Coturnix japonica: one gene and its partners. The protein of the gene in region 4 interacts with the protein of the main gene of each other region in a biochemical or structural test. Links are inferred from orthologs where the notes say so. Each region holds a gene or a part of one and is shown on either strand. Other genes may lie near its edges. The genes, in order: AXIN1, RNF146, TNKS1BP1 and TNKS.

Region 1 (4,093 bases), on a different chromosome or scaffold from region 4:
TGAAATGGGCCGAGTCGCTGCACTCCTTGCTCGATGATCAAGACGGTATCAATCTCTTCAGGACTTTCCTGAAACAGGAGGACTGTGCGGATCTGCTGGACTTCTGGTTTGCCTGCAGTGGCTTCAGGAAGCTGGAGCCCTGCGTGTCCAATGAGGAAAAAAGACTCAAACTGGCAAAAGCCATTTACAAAAAGTACATTCTCGACAACAACGGCATTGTGTCCCGGCAGATCAAACCAGCCACAAAAAGCTTCATAAAAGACTGTGTCATGAAACTGCAGATTGACCCTGACATGTTTGACCAGGCCCAAACTGAGATTCAATGCATGATAGAAGACAATACCTACCCTTTGTTCCTTAAGTCGGATATTTATTTGGAATACACAAGGACAGGTGGGGAAAGTCCTAAAATTTACAGCGATCCGAGCTCAGGGTCTGGGACAGGTAAAGGGCTGCCTGGTTATCTGCCTACTCTGAATGAGGACGAGGAGTGGAAATGTGACCAAGACACCGAGCCTGAGGCCAGCAGGGACTCGGCGCCCTCAAGCAGGCTCACCCAGAAGCTGCTTTTGGAGACTGCAACCCAACGTGCCACCTCGACCCGGCGGTACAGCGAGGGCAGGGAGTTCAGGTATGTGAGTGTCCCAGCTGGGCCCTTCTTTGGGGGCCTCCAGGTGCCCCTGGGGGCTGCTGTGAGATTGGAGTTGCTGGGAAGCGGGGGATGTTTGACAGCTGGAAGTGCTTGGGGCTGGTCGAGCATCAGCATGGGACAGTGTCGCATGGGTGTTATGCTGAAACACAGCTTTACTTGAATGTAGTGAGTTATTTGAAGGGTGTCTTTGGCTGTTCCTGTCCAGTTCCCCCAAATCACCTCTACGATCTGTTCTTTGCTGTGAGGAAATGCTGCTGAACGTGGTCTGGGTGTAGGTAGGAGGCAGTGGACGGTGCAGAGCTGTGGGCAGCCCCAGTCTGCACAGAGCGAGCAGAGAGCTGTGGTGTCAGGCTGGCCTGTAGCCTGCAGTGACGGAAGGTCAGTGTTCAGTTACATGAGTGCAGATGAGTACAGCTCGTGGTAAAACCCCTTGTAAATATACAAGGAAATGGTGATGAGCCACAACTAGAGGCTGCAGGAAGCTTGCGGGAAATACCCTAACGTCTGTAATGTGTATATGGGTCAAATGGGGTTCATGATGCTCCCTGTAAGTGCTATTGCTTTGCAGTCAAGCTTTCTGATAGTGGATTCCAGCCAAACCCAGTTAAAATTATTCTGTGTTGCAGCTTTTCCCCTCATCGCAATATTTGATTTTCTGCTCTAGAGGAGTTGCCCAGTTTTTCAGCCTGTGCTTTTCTTTTGGTCCCCCACCCATTTCCAACCAACACGCGTTTTGAAACTTGCTGAGAGCTCAGTTAAAATTCCAGACAATTAACTTAGCAGGGAGTTCTCTGGGATCAATAAGCGCGTGTGTGTGTAACCCCTGCTGAATCAACACAACGCAGCCAGACACACATTCCTCCTCCTTTAAAATAAAATCTCCTTGTTTTAAGACCTGCTTCAGATGAGATCTGTCACTCTCTGATGGTTACGAAATGAAGTAGCTGAACTGTCCTCATGGAAGCTGCATTTCTGTGCTTCCTCTCCCCACACCATCCCTTTATGCTGGCAGCTGGATGTGCATCCCACCCTTCACAAGGTCTCAGCGCCTTTTAGATAGCAAAGTGTTCTCATTTCGATTCCTGTTTTCAAACAGATTTTGAGGAGGGGGTTTTGCACGTGAAACTCAGGAAGAAAAACAAGAGGAATCGGTGTGAACTCGTGCTGTTTTAATCAGGAGTCTGAGAAACAGAACCCCTGAGTCCTGGGACTTTCTCATGGAGTTAATAAAAACCTTGAGTGTTTCTTGCAGTGGGTTTTCCCCCAGTGCTGGGTACTGACTGGATTGGACTAGAAAAGTCCACAATTGAAGTGTCTTTTTATGTAAGTAAGAATGGCTTATGACTGGCAATGACTTGCTCCAGTTGAGTTTAGTTTCTGTTCTAGAGCAGGTAGTGAAAACCTGCATGAAAGCTGCATTCTTCAGGTCCTGCTTCAGAAAAAGTGCTGTTTATGCATTACCTGAATGTGTTCGTGCCAAACTCTAAACGGTTCAGAAATACATTGTGAAATAGAAATATTTTGGGGTGGCGTTCCTCAACCTCGTGCATTTTCTGACTAGATTGGAACAGCCCAAAATAAGTCTTTACCTGGGGGATGGAGGTCAGGAGAAACGTGCTGCTGTTAATTTGTTGTGTCTGACAGCCTGTCATTGTGGCTGCAGACACTCCATTGACCTGCTGGGTCCGGAGGCAGGGATATGTTTACTGTTCTCACCAGAGCAGGAGTCATTTTGGAGCCTGGAGTAAGTAACTGAAAATGAGTGATGATTTATTTGAAGTGCTGGTCTGTCGGCCGCTGTAATGTCCGGAGCATCTCCATGGAAGATGGGTGCTGCTCAGTAGGGTGATCTATGCATTTTGTTCTGCTGAGATCCTAATTTAGGAGTCTGATTGTTGGTCTCTGTGCAAGCCTTTGTGGCTGAAATAGCTTGCTTCCTGAACACTGCATCGAAATAGCTGCCTCCAACAGACTGCTTTTCAAACAGCGGCATCTTAACGTGCAAACATTTCTGCTTTCTCCTGCCTTGGAAGCTGGTGGAGCTGCGTGCAGCAGGGAGCGATCCTTGTGCCATGGTTGGAAGGCTGAGTCTGTCCTGATTTGGTTTGAATGTTTCTACAGGCTTCTTTTTTTTTTCCTTTGTGGAAGAATCTCTCGTCTCTGTTGTTGAGGGAATGTTGCAATAAGCTGTTTTGCGTTAGAGCTGAAGGCCTGTTTAATCTTCACAAGATTTAACGTCTATTCCTTGGCTTCCATGGAAACTCTAAATAAAGAGGAATCCGACCAGATGCGATAGGAACGTGTCTCTGGTAGCCTAGGGAGCATCTTGAATCGGCTCCAATTCTTTTTGCAGCAGCAGGTTTGTAAATCTTAGTGCCTTATTTCTGTGCCCACGAGTGCAAAAGGCAATGCACTGTTAGTGCTGGGCAAGTGTGCCAGTGTGCGTGTATGTGGGAATATCCCAAAGCAAAAAGCACTGCTGTTACCCACTGCGTCTTTATACGTGTAGGAAAAGGCCAATAGTCATTATAGTTAGGCTCCTGCAAATTAATTGGACATTGGTTATGGATCAGTGAACTTCAAAGGGGGCAACCCCTGAAGATCTCAGGCATTAACTCTCAGCTTCCGAAACCGACACTAACGTGGTTGTGAGCGCAGCTAAATCTTTCATTAACCTTCTTTTGACACACCAGGACTGGGGTTTTCAGATATGAGGAGCAGAAATTACAGCCGTGCCTTAGAACTGCCCTGCAGCCCCGTGTTCGAGCACTCCTGCAAAACAGATGGGTCCCTTCTGTCATCTCTTCAGCTCTGCATCAGGAGGGTTTCCCCATCCCCTCCCAGGGCTTTGGGGAGCAGCACTCGCAAGCTCTGCCTTTGCTTTCCATGGTGGAAATGGAGCAGCTCTCCCCAGGACACTGCTTGTTCTTCATAACAGGGTGCTGAGCAAGAGGAGCAGCAGCTGTAGCGGGATGCAACACCTCTAGTCAGAGACTCATCCCAAACCTCAGTGAGTAATGCTGCATTGCAAGAGAGATGAGCAGCAGGGCCTGGTTCAGGTGTGGGATCTCTGCTGTGTGGATTACATCAGCAGGTTGACAGTCACAGGTTTGGCCTGCATCAGGAAGGAGCTGAAATTTAGCTGGCAGACTTGATTTTGAGGCTTGCTGCTTCATTAACAATTAAATATTAAATTGCACACTTCTAAGTGAAAACGATGCGGTGAAGGAGTTGGAGTTAATTGTGCTGAGTGAGCAGAAGGCTGGAGATGTGCAGTCACAGCAGTTGGTGCAGAACAGTCTGCATTCAGGCTGTTCCATGTTTGCATTGCTGTCTTACCAGCGCTGCCTTGAGCTGAAGAATCAGCACATGTGTCTGTGAGCTGAGCCACTGGAGCTTCAGGAGGGACCATTTGCTTTATATGAGGCTGTTCGTTATTGT
Region 2 (4,634 bases), on a different chromosome or scaffold from region 4:
CATATTTAACTTTTAAAAAGGAAGATTTGAGATTTTCCATACCCCAGCCAGCCTTTGGTGATGGCAACAACATATCACTTTAATGAAAATGTTAGAGCCGCGTGGGGGGAGCTCTACAACAGCTGAGAGGATAGGAACACAGTGAGCTACAAGCAACAGGGTTTCATGGAACAAATGTGTCATCAAAACACTGTCAGGATATTTGCTTTTAATGTTTTCACTTTGGAACTCACTCCTCAGCCCCTCCTCTGGCTGCCCGCACAGAGGAACCAGGGGCACACTTGTCACTCTAGTGCCATATTGGTGGATTCACAACTTCTCATTCTGTTCAGAGGGGTGGCTGAAGTTGTAGGTGTGAGGAAAAGGGGAAACGATTCCATATCCTATCCCATTTATGCCCCACCCCTGGAGGTGCTCAAGGACAGGTTGGATGGGGCCATTGGACAGCCTGATCTGGTGGGTGGCAGCACTGCCCATGGCAGGGGGCTGTGATTGTGTGGGTTTTGAGGTCTCTTCCATCCCACGCCATTGTGTGATTCTGTGATTCACAAATCACCTACTCTTTTGCTTCTATTGTGACCTGGAGAAGCTTGGAGCTTCTCCAAAATCTATTTTGATACAGACTCAAGCCACAGCAGGAGACTGTTTTCTCCTATCTTCCCCCAGCTATGTCACAAGCAGGGGTTGAGCTCATAGTATACCTGCATGTCTCCAAGGGTTTACATAGTATCATACACATCTAAAGAAGCAGAAGAAAGGTCTTTATAAATAGAAGGACTGAAACATGATTAATAGCTCTCAGTTGCCAAAGCATCAGCAGAATATTAATAGTGGGGGTGCAGACTCTTGCCAGGGGAGGAGGTGTCTTCTCAGGACTAGTCTGGTGAATCTTTACTTTTCAAGCCGCTGTGCACATTAAAAATGTAGTGGCAAGTATCAGACATGAATTCCAGATTGACGACGCTGTAGGCAATGGTAACAAAGAGAAACAAAGGAGGGCACGGAGCTACGAAGGAAGCAGAGGCAGACAGAGTGGTGGTGCTTTCAGTTGCAATAGACAGGTACAGCTAATGCACGTTAAGGAAACCACTGCTGGACGTGGGGCGATGTGCTGCAGGAGCCAGCACAAAGATGCGAACACAACATGCATTTAGACTGAAATTAAAGCTGGCAATGAAGGCCGATGTTATTGCAGGTACCATTCTTCGGTTACCAGCTTCGGCACAACCTGATATTGCCTTTAACCATTTCTTCACCGAGCGTAAAATGAAACCATACGTTCACTACTGCATTTTCTCGGTCGAACTAAACTGTCAGACCCCGGAACACAGACGCGGGTTTATTTATTACTGAGAACACTTCATTCAGGGTGCTTTATTTTCCTGTAATCTCCGTTCGACGGAGACACCGAACCCCCAAAAGCGGATGGTGCGCTCCAGGCCCCGTCGCCATGGCGGCATCACGAGCGCGGGGTGTGGCGGCGCGGCACCATGGCGTCACCCGAGCGCGGCCCCCAGCGGCGGAGCCGGTTGTGGCTCCTCCCGATCCGCGGCGTCACGGTGGCGCGGCCTCCCCCGCTCTGCTCCGGCCGTGACGTCGGAGCGTCCCGCGGAGGCGGCGGCAGGTGGCGGCGGAGCGGCGCGAGCCGGCCCGGCCCGGCGGGTGAGTCCCGGCTTGGGTGGGCGGTCAGCGCTGACAGCGGCCGCCCCGGGATCGGGATCGGGGAGGGAGCCGAGGCCTGGCCGGGCGGTAGGCGCCGGCCCCAAACAAAAGGCCGGCGGGCGGAGCGGGCCTGCCGCGGCCCTGCGGCGGGCGAGGACCGGCGGGTGCCGCCCTCCTGTCCGCGCTGGAGCCCAAGTCCCGCGGCGTCGCTGTTCGCCATCGAGGGAGGAGGGAGGAGGCCGCGGCCCTGCGCGAAACACTGGGCCCGGCGGAGAGGGGAGGGCGGCGGGCCGGGTCTCGGCTGCTGTCCGCCCGCTGTCAGCGGCCGAGCCTCGCAGCCGGAGGGGGAGCGAGGGATGTCGGCGAGCACAACAGGAAGAGCGTGAGGAGCTGCGAGCGGTGCCGCCAGGTGCTTTTGTTTCCATGTGTCTGTGCTCGAGGTTTTTAATTGCATCCTTCGGGAGTGGTAAAGCGGGGCGGAAAAATAGGTCCTGCGCTTTGTGCTATATGTATTGTCACCGCTGACAAATGATTGCGAAATACTCGGTGAATACGAGGTTTTTCATGCTGTGGATGTCCGCTTTTTGCATGTGAAGAAACCCCAATTAAGGCGTCTTATTTCCGTCTTCGCATAACTTTTCTGCGACGTGAAGTAGAAATAGGGTAGAGCTTGTTGCTGGGAGCGCAGCGTGCAGGGGGTAATTAAAAGGGAGAATAGGGAGCGGAGCTCTAAAGTGTTCTGTCACATCGGTAGCGCTGAAGGTACAGCGCTGCGGCGTTGTTAGATGCTGCCTCTGGGCAGTGGGTTGCTTAAAAATAGGCCTTCAAGTGCCTCTGAAAACGCACAGCCAAAAGTGATCACTTGCGGTTGTACCGAAGGCACGGTAAAACCTGAATATTGATTTGGGTCACTTTGAGTAAATCTTAAATATTTTATGTTTGCGCAGAGTTGCTTTATAGCCCTGTGAGGTTTAACGCTGTGGCTTCTTTCCAAGCGAATCAAAGTACCGATTGTTTAAATGGCCGAGTGAAAGTTTTGTTCTTTTTGTTTCCTCTTAAATCCACCACATCCATGTAGATGTAATGGAATTGCCCAGAGAGATGAAGCTGCAGGACTTTTGAAGGCTGTCGAATAAGGTTTGGAAGGCTCTTGGTGTTGCTGGGGAAAAATCTTTCTTGGAATCGATGATTATTTTTTTTCCTCCTTCTGTGCATGTTAATTTATATGTCACAATGCTCCTGTACTTCATTTCTCTCTCAGAAGCAGCGATAGCTTCAGATGAGCCCATTTTTGCTTTGTTTTCCCACAGGAATTTTGTCAGTGCCCTCTTATTTGAGTGCGAAACTGAGGTTTTCCTCACTTAAGTCAAATGAAGTAGGACACGGGCTCCCAGTTATAGCACAGCAGAAGAAATTCAGTTTGAATAAATATGTAGCCATTCAGTATCAAAATGGTTGACTGTTCTGCACTTGACTGTTTTTCTGTAACTCGGACCCACACCAATATACAAGCTTCTTAAAATTAAAGTGTAGTAATGCTGTTTAAAGGAACGACAGGGAATTTGAAGCCTTATCACATCATTGATTTCTGAAAGTATTTTAAGAGAGAGAGAGGAGGCAGTGAGATTATTTACCTGCTGTGCTGTCCGATGCTTGCAGGCAGTTGCAAAAACACCAGACAGGTTCCATACCTTTAGCTAATACTGTACTTGTGACAGTAGGCCTCCAGATGGGAGATATATATATGCATATATATATATAATTATTATTTTTTCTCCCTTATGAAACAGAACACCACCAGCATAAAGCAACTACTACCATCCTTCCTTCCTTTACCAGCATTTGGCTCACGCTGTCCTATAGGGAAGAGTTCTGGGATCCTTTTTCCTCTGCTTCTACCTTCCCCCACCCTACTTCCTTAGTAACTGAGATATATGTTAGGGAGCCCGATGGTAACAGTCAAGTATTGAATCACAGAAGAACGTTTACCTTTGATCATTTCTTTTGTAGCGCTGCACCTGTTCAGTTTTCAGCCTCTGGCAGTCAACGAATGAGTTTGTGCTAACTGTTGTAAAGTGGTCTGTCTGGTGTTGCAGAACTTGTGCGATCACCTTTCATTTGAGGCAGGGTTTAAGTGATAGCCTTCAGCGAGTGAGAAGCTGGCTTTAGTTGAATTTACCAGTGGTGTTTTGTTTTCTTCTTTTCCTAAGAAGATAAACTTTTATTTACAAAAATTTCCTAGGGCCGTAAATAACAAACAGTGCACTTATATTTAGGATCTGGCTTCTTATGTTTCTGGAAATGTGTTTATTGTTGCTATTTTTCCTATCACTTGTGTCTCCAAAATAGTAGAAAAGTGAGAAAAATAATGCCCTGGCTATGATACGCTACTGGGAATTTGATAGGCAGCAGCTGACTGATCTGACAGGAGATGGTTTCACTTCATCTTGGCCAAGTGAAAGCTTGATGATTTTATCAAAGACCTCATGCCGTTTTTGGATGACGGGTGTCCTAGGAGGGACACTGCTTCAGCATCCTAACACGGTGTGGAAGAAGTTGGCACGAGGTTCCCTAGCAGGCGTCCTGACAGCCTGCCAAGGAAACAAGGGGTGGTTAACGCTGGCTGAGCCACAGTGTGGCACCAGTTGTTGCCCAGCTGGCGATGCCAAGTTTAAATTCCAATTCCCAGTGGGTCGGATTGTCCTTCATCTGTTGTGGGCTGAGTGTTTCAGAATCAGTGTGCAATAGTCCTCGTGGGCTTGGTGAGGAAGGGACACTCACAGGTTGCCACAGATAGCGTAATTCCTCATATGAGATGCTTTTCTAGCATAGGAAGTTAATTGCTAAGTGTAGAACATGGCTCTCAGCCACTTTACTTCAAAGGAGCAGGAGTCCAGGAAGGGGTGTGTGTGTGTGTAACCACAGATGTCTTTTATCCCGTTTAGTAAAATTTCTAGGACTGGCTTATTAAA
Region 3 (4,735 bases), on a different chromosome or scaffold from region 4:
AGCTGACAACTCATCTGTCTGATTAAGTAGCTGAGTTACGGGTGGGATGCAGGAGGCATCATCTTGGGGTAACCAATTAAGACTTTAGTGTGTGGGGTATTTCAAGTCTTGGTTCTTTCCACTTCCTGCTTTCCAGAGCAAGAAAGGCAAAGACCCCAACGCGCCCAAGAGACCCATGTCAGCTTACATGCTTTGGTTGAATGCCAACCGTGAGAAGATCAAGTCAGACCATCCTGGTATCAGCATCACAGACTTGTCCAAGAAGGCTGGGGAGCTCTGGAAAGCCATGTCTAAGGAGAAGAAAGAGGTGGGTTGCTCTTCCAGTGTGGATTGCTAAGCCGTATGTAGGAAGGGAAGGTGGATGTCAGGATGCTCTTGCTTGGTCTCGGGATCCTGCTGCTCCATTAACGGATCAGGAAGGGAGGGTGGCAGTGGGGAGCTGACATCTCAGCTGGTGTGTGAGTAAGGTCTCCAGGTGGTCAGGGACATGGGTGGAGATCGTGTTGGACTCTGGTGGTGCAGATGCTCATGATGGTGGATGGTGTGGGAACAAAGTGCCACTTAACCTGCTTTTGCTGCAGGAATGGGATCGCAAGGCAGAAGATGCCAAGAGGGATTATGAGAAGGCCATGAAAGAGTACAGCGTGGGCAATAAGTCAGAGAGCTCCAAGATGTGAGTATGCTGAGCAGACAAGAGGGATGTGGCAGGGCTTCACTGTTCTGGAATCTGTCTGTCCTCAGCTGCTGTGGTGGCTGGGCCTCTCTGAGGCTGGGGGATTGTGAGATGGGACCAGTGAGCTGTCAGCAAGGTAATGCTTCTGTCTCTTCCACCCTGCCAACACACACACAGGGAGAGGTCTAAAAAGAAGAAGAAGAAGCAGGAGAAACAGATGAAGGGGAAAGGGGAGAAGAAGGGTGCTGCCTCCAAGTCTTCGTCCTCCACCAAGAGTTCTGCCAAGAGTATGAGTGAGAGCTTCAAGAGCAAGGAATTTGTCTCCAGCGACGAGAGCTCCTCTGCAGAGAGCAAGAAGGAGGTAGTAGGGCGGTTTGGTGGTGGGATTTGCTGGGTCTTATTTTACCTCATCCCTACAGGCATATATTCTTCCAGATAGCATGTACATCCAGTCTTGTAGCAGAGGACTGAGTTTGGTCTTTGCTATTGGCAGAGGAGCAGGTGAACATGAGCTGCTCTGCTTCTACTGTCCTGACTTCCCATTTCTTCCCACAGGACTCAGAGGATGAGAGAGGCGCCAGCCCGGCCCAAAGCTCAGAGGATTCCGGATCCGGCTCGGATTAGTTCTGTCCCCGCTGGCTCCAGGCTGGTTCCCAGATCAGCGTGAGGACTGGGTGGGCCGGCCCGCAGGAGGGGTCTGGCTCTTGGGCTCTGGCTGGCTCCGAACCTGCCTGGCCGCCCTTCCTCCTACCTCTGCTGCCAGGTGAGGGGAGGCACCGGAGTGGGGACAGGAGGGTGCCCAGCTTCACTGCTTGAGCCCTTTCCCCTCAGTGCCTGGCTACAGAGTGAAGCCCCACAGAGGGGAGGCCCAGGAAGGAGCCTCGATCCCACTTCTGCCCTGTTTCTCATCAATTTATTTTTTTTAAATACTCGGGTTTGTTTCGGTCTCTTATTTTTTTCCTTTTTGTATGTTGGGTCAGTTCACATGGCAACTCGAATTGAATAAAAAACACCCGCGGCGGGACTGCAGTGTGGGTGTGGAGGTGGGGGTGGGCCGGGCTCCTCTTCCCCAGGGGCACACGGTGCTGGGATGCCTTCCTTCTAACATCGCCTTTCTCCCGGCATCGCCTCGGCCTCCTTGAACCGCAGCCAGGGGCTGAGCTCACTCACAGCCCATCCATTAGCAGCCGGAGCCCCTTCCTGCGGCCTCCCTAATCCTGTTAGTCTCCATCAGCCTCCTAATGGAGGGCCGGCGGTCGATCCCGATGCCGTGCGGATGTTCTCTGTGCCCTGGAGGGCCGCACCGTGCCTGGGGGTGGTGGTGGTGATAGTCATTTCATCAGCGTTCCTGCTTGACCCCGGCATGGCGGCCTGGCTGCGAGTCAAAGGCTGCAGGGGAACGGGCTCGGGGAGACGGGGCTCGGCCTGGCCGCCCCCTCTGTAGGTCACAGCCGGTTTGTGGGGCCGCCGCACCCCGGGGTTCCCCTCTACCGCCCTCTCACACTCAGGCCCCGCACAGCCCGTGCTCTATGGCCGCTGGAGGTGCCACGCGGCGCCGCTCTAGTTCTCCGCTCTCTCTGCTCGGCCACGTGGGGTGGGCGCGGCCCGAGTGGGGGCGCGGTGGGTGGGGAGGGGGCGAGGCCATCGCTCATGAATATGCAGCGGCGGCGGCGGCGGCGGGTGAGCGCGGGCAGGGCGAGGGGTCACGGCGGGAGCGCGGCGTGGGTACGGTACCGGAACGGGGGAGGGGCGGCGGGCAGCTGGGTGGGGTTATCTGGGCACGAGGGTGGCGATGGGGTCGGGGTCCTTGAGGCCGTTCAGCCCGTCGTGCCCGGCGGGGCCGAGGCTCGGGCTGCGAAGGACACAACGGGCCGCCCGGCCCTTCGTGCGGCCCCTCCTCGCCGATGGAGCGGGGGGCTCCGTTTCCATGGCGGCGCTCCCGGGCCCGCCCGGCCACTCGAGCGGGGGCTGCGTTACCGTGACAACGCGGGCAGGCCCCGGAGGATGGGAGGGGGGAGGGGGCACCCCTGTCTCCCTTCCCCCTTCCAGCCCCGTTCCACACCTCCCCCCCCCGCCCCGCTTCCCTTCGCCTCGTCACCGAGCGGGGCCTCGTCAGCATCCCGGGGCTGCCAAGGGGTTGGGAAACAGCCTCGGCGGGGGGAGGAGGGGCGGGAGGGGGGGGACGATGGCTTCCAGATGTGCCCCCTCCGGTTCCGTTTGGCCGGGGTGGGGGGAGCCCGAAGAGAGAAGGGGCCCGAGGGGAGAGGGGGGGGGAAAGGGGGGACCCCGCATCGCGAGTGGGAAGGAGGGAGCGGGGAGGAGGCGAGGGGAAGGCAGGGCAGGGCAGGGCCGCGAGGAGGAGGAGGCACGAGCGAGTTTTTCCTGTCCCCGCAGCGCCAGTGAGTCACGGGGAGCCGTGCGGCCACGCCAAACCGGGCCTGGGCATCGCGGCCCGCTCCCCTCCAGCCCCAGACCCGGCCATGAGGCGACCGAGGGGCAGGTGAGGGGGGGGCGACCCTATAGGGCCCGACGGGGCTGGGGATCGGGACGTGGGAGCGGTATGGGCTGACGTGGTGTGCGGAGCACTTCCGTGAGGGAACGGGCAGCGGGTGGGGGGGCTGCCCCAGGTGTAGGATGGGGGGTCGGTGCGGGTGGACGAGGGGCTGGCACCGCACACAGAAGGCAGCCCAGGTGAACAGGGCTGGGGTGCACATATTTACTGAGGTGTGCAAGGGACTGGCACGGTGTGCTCTATGGTTGGGTGCTGCCGGCGGGTTGGGGCAGTGTACAAAGGGTGGTACGGCCGAACGGAGGCTTGGCGGTGAGATAGTGGGTTGGCACGGTGTGCTGCACTGGTATAAGAGAGTGGGAAGCCAGCAGCACAATGCAACATGCTGCAGGTACAGCAGGGACCGGGGGCACCAGGGTGAATGGGGCAGCAGGCCCCAGTGGACAGGGTGGACTAAGGTTCTTCCGTGACGTTTCTCCCCTCTCTCTTCTGCAGGGGCTGACTGCACGCTGAGTCTGCTGAGCATTAGCTCCGGCTTCACCATGGCCTCCCAGCCCCAGTCCCTGCACCCCCCACTGCCCTGTGCCTCCGGGGGGACCGGACTGGCGGCTGGCAGCTCTGAGAAAGGTGAGAATCTCCCTGAATGGCTTATATGTGTTTTTAACCCAGAGTGAGATGTCTGCAGGTGTTGTTGTGTTCTCCAACTCCCCATGTTTCTCCTCGTCTTTCTCCCACAGGCAGTCCTCGCCCCAAGCCTCCTGTCCGGCCCAAGCCCCGTGTGCTGCCCAAGCCAGCCGTGCCTGCCAAACCCTGCCTGCCTCACCCCCCACCAGCACCACGGCATTCTCGTCCTGAGCTGCCCTCCGCAGAGAAGATAAACCGCCTGGCAGGCCCCCAGCCGTACAGTGGGGGTGGCTCTGGGGTGGCCCTCAGACGCCCCTCTTTCACCATCAAGTCACCTGAGACCCTCAACGGGAAGGGGCTCCCATCCCCACCAGTTTTCACTCCTGAGGACTCGTGTTCAACCCCCAGTGATGAGGTGCCCCCGGCCCCATCGACGCCTTCCCGCAAAGGTCCAGCTCCCTTTAAGGTGACACCAGTGCCTGTGGCAACCAAGCTGGAGCGATTTCCAGGCACCACCGTGGAGGAGATTCTGGCCAAAATGGACAGCAAGGAGGGAAGCCCTGACCGGGCCCGCATCTCTCCCTTTTGCTCCGATTCTTCTTCTCGCTTTGGCTCCAAGATCTTCACCGCCTTCCGGAGACGCCCTAGTGGGGAGGCAGATGGAGACTCCCCTGGTGAAGCCCGCCAGCTGCTCCAGCAGGCTGAGGGAGAGCTGGGGACAGGGGGTGACAGATGCCCGATGGTTGAGATGAGGTGAGGGGCAGAGGATCGGTCCCAGGGACAGGGAACCATGGGGAAAGCATCGGTGGGCAGTTAGAGATGGAACTAAATGGAGCTGGAAGGGACCTGAGGTCTGGTCGCCAGTACAAGGCTGTTGTTCCTCCTAACCAACAGTGCCTTGAGCCGCCTTCGTGGGAAGGCTTGGTCAC
Region 4 (4,093 bases):
AACATCTGAGAAGTCCTCATACGTGAAGTACTGCCTGTCACAGAGGGTGCTGGCTGCTGGAAATCATTTGTCACCACTTTAGCAGCATGACACTGCAGCTGAGTTGTATGTTCGTCTCGGAGAGCTGACAGCTTCTTCCTTGCATCCTTTAAGTGTTATGTATTAATTTCTCTTCTGGAAAAATAATAATGTCTTCTGTATTTAGTCTCTGGCCTGTGCATGGAGTTAATAATGTAATTGGTATTTGTGCCCTGGAGTAAGAGTGAACAGCTTGTTTTAAATATTGTCATTTTTCTTTTTGCAAAGCATTTTAACAGCAGTGTGTTCTCTTACAGGGTTTGGAAGGAAAGATGTTGTAGAGCACTTGCTACAGACAGGAGCCAACGTTCATGCTCGTGATGACGGAGGGCTGATACCCCTTCACAACGCCTGCTCCTTTGGTCATGCTGAAGTGGTTAGCCTGTTACTGTGCCAAGGTGCAGACCCTAATGCTAGAGACAATTGGAACTACACTCCTTTGCACGAGGCTGCTATCAAGGGGAAGATAGATGTGTGTATTGGTAAGTCTCTGTCACTTATTGTAACTTCACCAGATGTGTATTTTGTGCGCTTACAATTTAAACCATTGTGTAGGTATAGTGACAGTCATTCAGGACTAACTTTTTCATGTTGTGCAGTTCAACCTTTGCTGAACTTGCATCTGGAAAATGAATATAGAGCAGGTTCGTCAAATCTCCTGCTAAATTAGGGCCTTCAAAACCTGAATGTGGAAGTCTCCCTGCACTCTGCTAAATGTCTTTGCTTTTAAGGCTGCTCAGAATGTTGGGTTAGTGCTTAGAAAGATGGTTAACCTTTTATTCTGTACAATATGGAGTAATGTTTGTCCTTTGCAGCTTTCAAATACAAGTTGCAGGACACCACCGCTTACAGTGGTTATATATCTTCAGTGTGTGCTGTAGCCTGGAGCAAAAGCAATTTCAAATAAAATTGAACACTTCAATCATTTTAAATGCACCCAGACCGTATAAGGGGCTTTTCAGCAAGATGTCGTTAACTTTTATGGTGTTTTTTCCCCTCAAAGTATTTAGTGTTACTTCCTTTTTTCATAAAATGTCTTAAGTTGGAAAGGAGCTTAAGACCCATACAGTTCTGACCCCCTGCTTTGGATTAGGCTTCCCAGGGCCCCGTTCATCCTGGCCTTGAATGCCACCAAGGAAGGGGTATCACAGTGTCTCTTGGACAGCTAGTGTCTGACCATCCTCAGAATCTGTTTCTTTTTTGCATTGAGTTTGTTTACATTTTATACTTAGTGGGTCAACTAGTTGGCATGATCCTGTTTCTCCTTAATGGCTTTATATATATATATTTATATTAAGGTCTTCAGCCTTTATCTCAAAAGACCCTGTGAAGGAACAGAGTATGTACAAAGATAATGAACAATGATTGCTTAGGGCATGAATACTAGGACTGAATACTTGAATAGCTTCGTGGAATATGTTGTACAGTAATACTATTTACGCCTGAAATGTAGACTGTTAGAATTGATATAAAGGAGGAAATTGGCCTGCTGAAATCACATTCTTAATGTTTCTTTTTAAAACAAGTGAGGTCTGCTTTTTAAAAAGCCTTTAATTGAAGAATATTCTCTGGAAATCCCAGTGTAATGTGGGATTTATTGCTGAACTTAAGTATCTGCCTGAAAAGCAGTAGACTCCATAGGAATTAATTATCTAACCATATCTTTGTCTATCTCTAGGCACCTTCCAAGTGATGCAGTGGGATAATTTGTGCAATTTATTTTCTCACCTTTACTCTTTCTGTGTCACCTTATTCTACATCTGTTCTTTATCATTCCCTAGCATAGAATACTGTTCTCTTGGCCACTTTTACAGGTCAAAAAGGGATAAAGTGATAACTGAACAGAGTGCAAAGCTGTGGCACGTTCACGAATAGCAACAGGGAAAACTCAATGTTCTGAAGTGGTTGGAAGACCAACAGAGGCTAGATGATGATTGCAGTAGGATTGTAGAATTTGCTTTTGACTAGCACTAGCCTTGCAAGAGTATGTATGTGTTTGCACTGAAAGTACTATTAAACTCAGCTTTACAAGCTGAAGTTAAACTGTTGCCTGTGAGCTCTGCCACTTGGAAGCTTGTGTAGTAATGGGAAATGTCATAAACTGGTTAAAACTTGAAGTATGTACAGGCTTCTCTGGAATCTAAACTGGAAGAGAGCAAATGACAGTGATATGTGGTTTCTTGTGCTTCTGGTGTTGATTTAATATTAGACTCATAGAATCATTGAGGTTGGAAAAGACTCTTAAGATCATGAAGTCTAACCATAGTACCGTAACTCTAACAACCCTCTGGTAAATCATATCCCTGAGCACCACATCCAAACGGCTCTTAAACACATCCAGGGACGGTGACTCAAGCACCTCCCTGAGGAGCCTATTCCAGTACTTGACTATCCTTTCTGTAAAGAAGTGTTTCCTAACTCTTAACTTATCTGTGGGTTTTAGACTTCCCCAGTTGGTTTTCTCCATTTTCCTAAAATTCAGCAATCAAGAGAAGGAGTCTCTTCCTCATTATTCTGCTGGGTACAAGACAATCTATGGAGGACAATAAACCACTTTACTTATTTTGTGATACTTCTTTACAAATAATGTTTACAAATAATTGAAGTCTGGTTACTTGCATCAAAGAGTACAGTACAGTAATGTCCAAAACTTATTTTGTATCTGTATGAAGTAAGGTCTTCTAATATTAACTTTTAGCAAACAGAGGGAAGGAAGGTGGAAGAAAGAAGCAACTTCATATTACAGGGATTGTTTAATGGAGCTGATGCTGCTCTTGCAGGCACTAACTGCTTGATTTCAGGTGTCTGCTACCAGCTTTCTAAATACTGTGCAGAAATACTTAGTTTTATGGGATTATACTTCAGATTACTGTAGCACTCTCTGCTTTTAACTTCTCAGTGGAGCCACGCAGTCTTAATGCAGTTCGTATGTGGTTTGAAAACAGTCTCTAGGTAAATGTGTAGCTGTTAAGCTGTAGAAGTGGCCTGGTCCAGCAGAGCTCCTGGATCTCTTCCAAATCTAATGGAAAGCATGGATTAAAGTATGGCTATAGAATATAAAGGGTTTTGCTTGTAAAATGTGTGGGTAGTTAAATACTTGTCATGTAATAAACAATGGCAGCTGCCTTGCTTTATGCTGGGGAAAAAGCAAATCTTTAAAGCAAGTTCAGAAAATGCATTTTGTGTGATTGAAACCTACTGAAAATACTGAGTGATTGCCTCATGTTCTGTTATTTGCTTTAGTCTTTCATGCAGTTAATACTCATGCTGACTGTAGATTCCTGTGCTGCAGTAAATCCTTATTTTTCCACACTTAAACAAACATACCGTGTTTCTTACATAATGCTGTTCCTTTACGGGAAAGACTGAGGTGTCTGATGTGAATCCTGCTGTTTGTGCTGCTGTGTATCCTTTATGGTTTGGTATGATACAGTGTCTAAGCAGGCAGAGCAATTCCTTGATTAGGCAGCATGCCCTTGTCTTCACTGTGATCACTGAGTACTGAACTTCCATCCTCATTATTTAAGATGAGGCAAGTCAGTTGTATTACTGATGTCCTTAAAGTGATCACTCACTGACCCTACAGTAATTACTGTATTTCTTTTGCTGCTGCAAATAGCAAAGCTTAAAAGCTAGAATTTCAAACGATGAGAGAGGAAGCCAAGAGGAAGTGGCTGCAAAAATGTATTTTCTTGGTTGGAGTGATGTAAGGATGGTGCAGCCTAAAAGAGGAATTCACTCAGACTGACCTAAATGGATGATTCCTTGCTGTGATATCTACAGTGGCTGTGATGTTTAGGTGATAGGCTGAGGGATTTTGACAGTATAGAATATTTTGGTGTCTAAGTATCATCCCCAAGTGAAATACTGTTGAAAACTTGGGTGATATCTGTAAAGACATTGCATATTCTTGCCCTGTTCTTAACATACTTTTTACTAGGTATCCTGTTCTAGCTGTTGCTAGAGATGGTACTCCTGCTTTAAAATTGACCTTTTGGTTCACACAGCGCAGTCT

What was found.
Region 1: the proteins of TNKS (region 4) and AXIN1 form a complex in vitro, tested with the Homo sapiens proteins (2 studies listed by BioGRID). The link is inferred for Coturnix japonica from reciprocal best matches to the Homo sapiens genes TNKS and AXIN1.
Region 2: the proteins of TNKS (region 4) and RNF146 form a complex in vitro, tested with the Homo sapiens proteins (3 studies listed by BioGRID and IntAct, with this or other methods). The link is inferred for Coturnix japonica from reciprocal best matches to the Homo sapiens genes TNKS and RNF146.
Region 3: the proteins of TNKS (region 4) and TNKS1BP1 form a complex in vitro, tested with the Homo sapiens proteins (2 studies listed by BioGRID). The link is inferred for Coturnix japonica from reciprocal best matches to the Homo sapiens genes TNKS and TNKS1BP1.

The regions. Positions count from the first base shown.
Region 1 is NC_029529.1:10,753,927-10,758,019, forward strand, and holds part of AXIN1 (axin-1), read left to right. Parts: coding exon 1-631; intron 632-4,093. UniProt on the Homo sapiens protein: Component of the beta-catenin destruction complex required for regulating CTNNB1 levels through phosphorylation and ubiquitination, and modulating Wnt-signaling.
Region 2 is NC_029518.1:53,756,908-53,761,541, reverse strand, and holds the start of RNF146 (E3 ubiquitin-protein ligase RNF146), read left to right. Parts: upstream 1-1,541; 5' UTR 1,542-1,662; intron 1,663-1,743; exon of another isoform or gene 1,744-2,071; intron 2,072-4,634. UniProt on the Homo sapiens protein: E3 ubiquitin-protein ligase that specifically binds poly-ADP-ribosylated (PARsylated) proteins and mediates their ubiquitination and subsequent degradation. May regulate many important biological processes, such as cell survival and DNA damage response.
Region 3 is NC_029520.1:7,745,933-7,750,667, reverse strand, and holds the start of TNKS1BP1 (182 kDa tankyrase-1-binding protein), read left to right. Parts: upstream 1-1,794; 5' UTR 1,795-2,353; exon of another isoform or gene 2,354-2,398; intron 2,399-2,703; exon of another isoform or gene 2,704-2,809; intron 2,810-3,067; 5' UTR 3,068-3,173; intron 3,174-3,677; 5' UTR 3,678-3,724; coding exon 3,725-3,809; intron 3,810-3,919; coding exon 3,920-4,559; intron 4,560-4,735. Other genes in the region: FACT complex subunit SSRP1, read left to right, coding at 137-307, 582-673, 851-1,034, 1,229-1,297.
Region 4 is NC_029519.1:44,121,201-44,125,293, reverse strand, and holds part of TNKS (poly [ADP-ribose] polymerase tankyrase-1), read left to right. Parts: intron 1-335; coding exon 336-560; intron 561-4,093.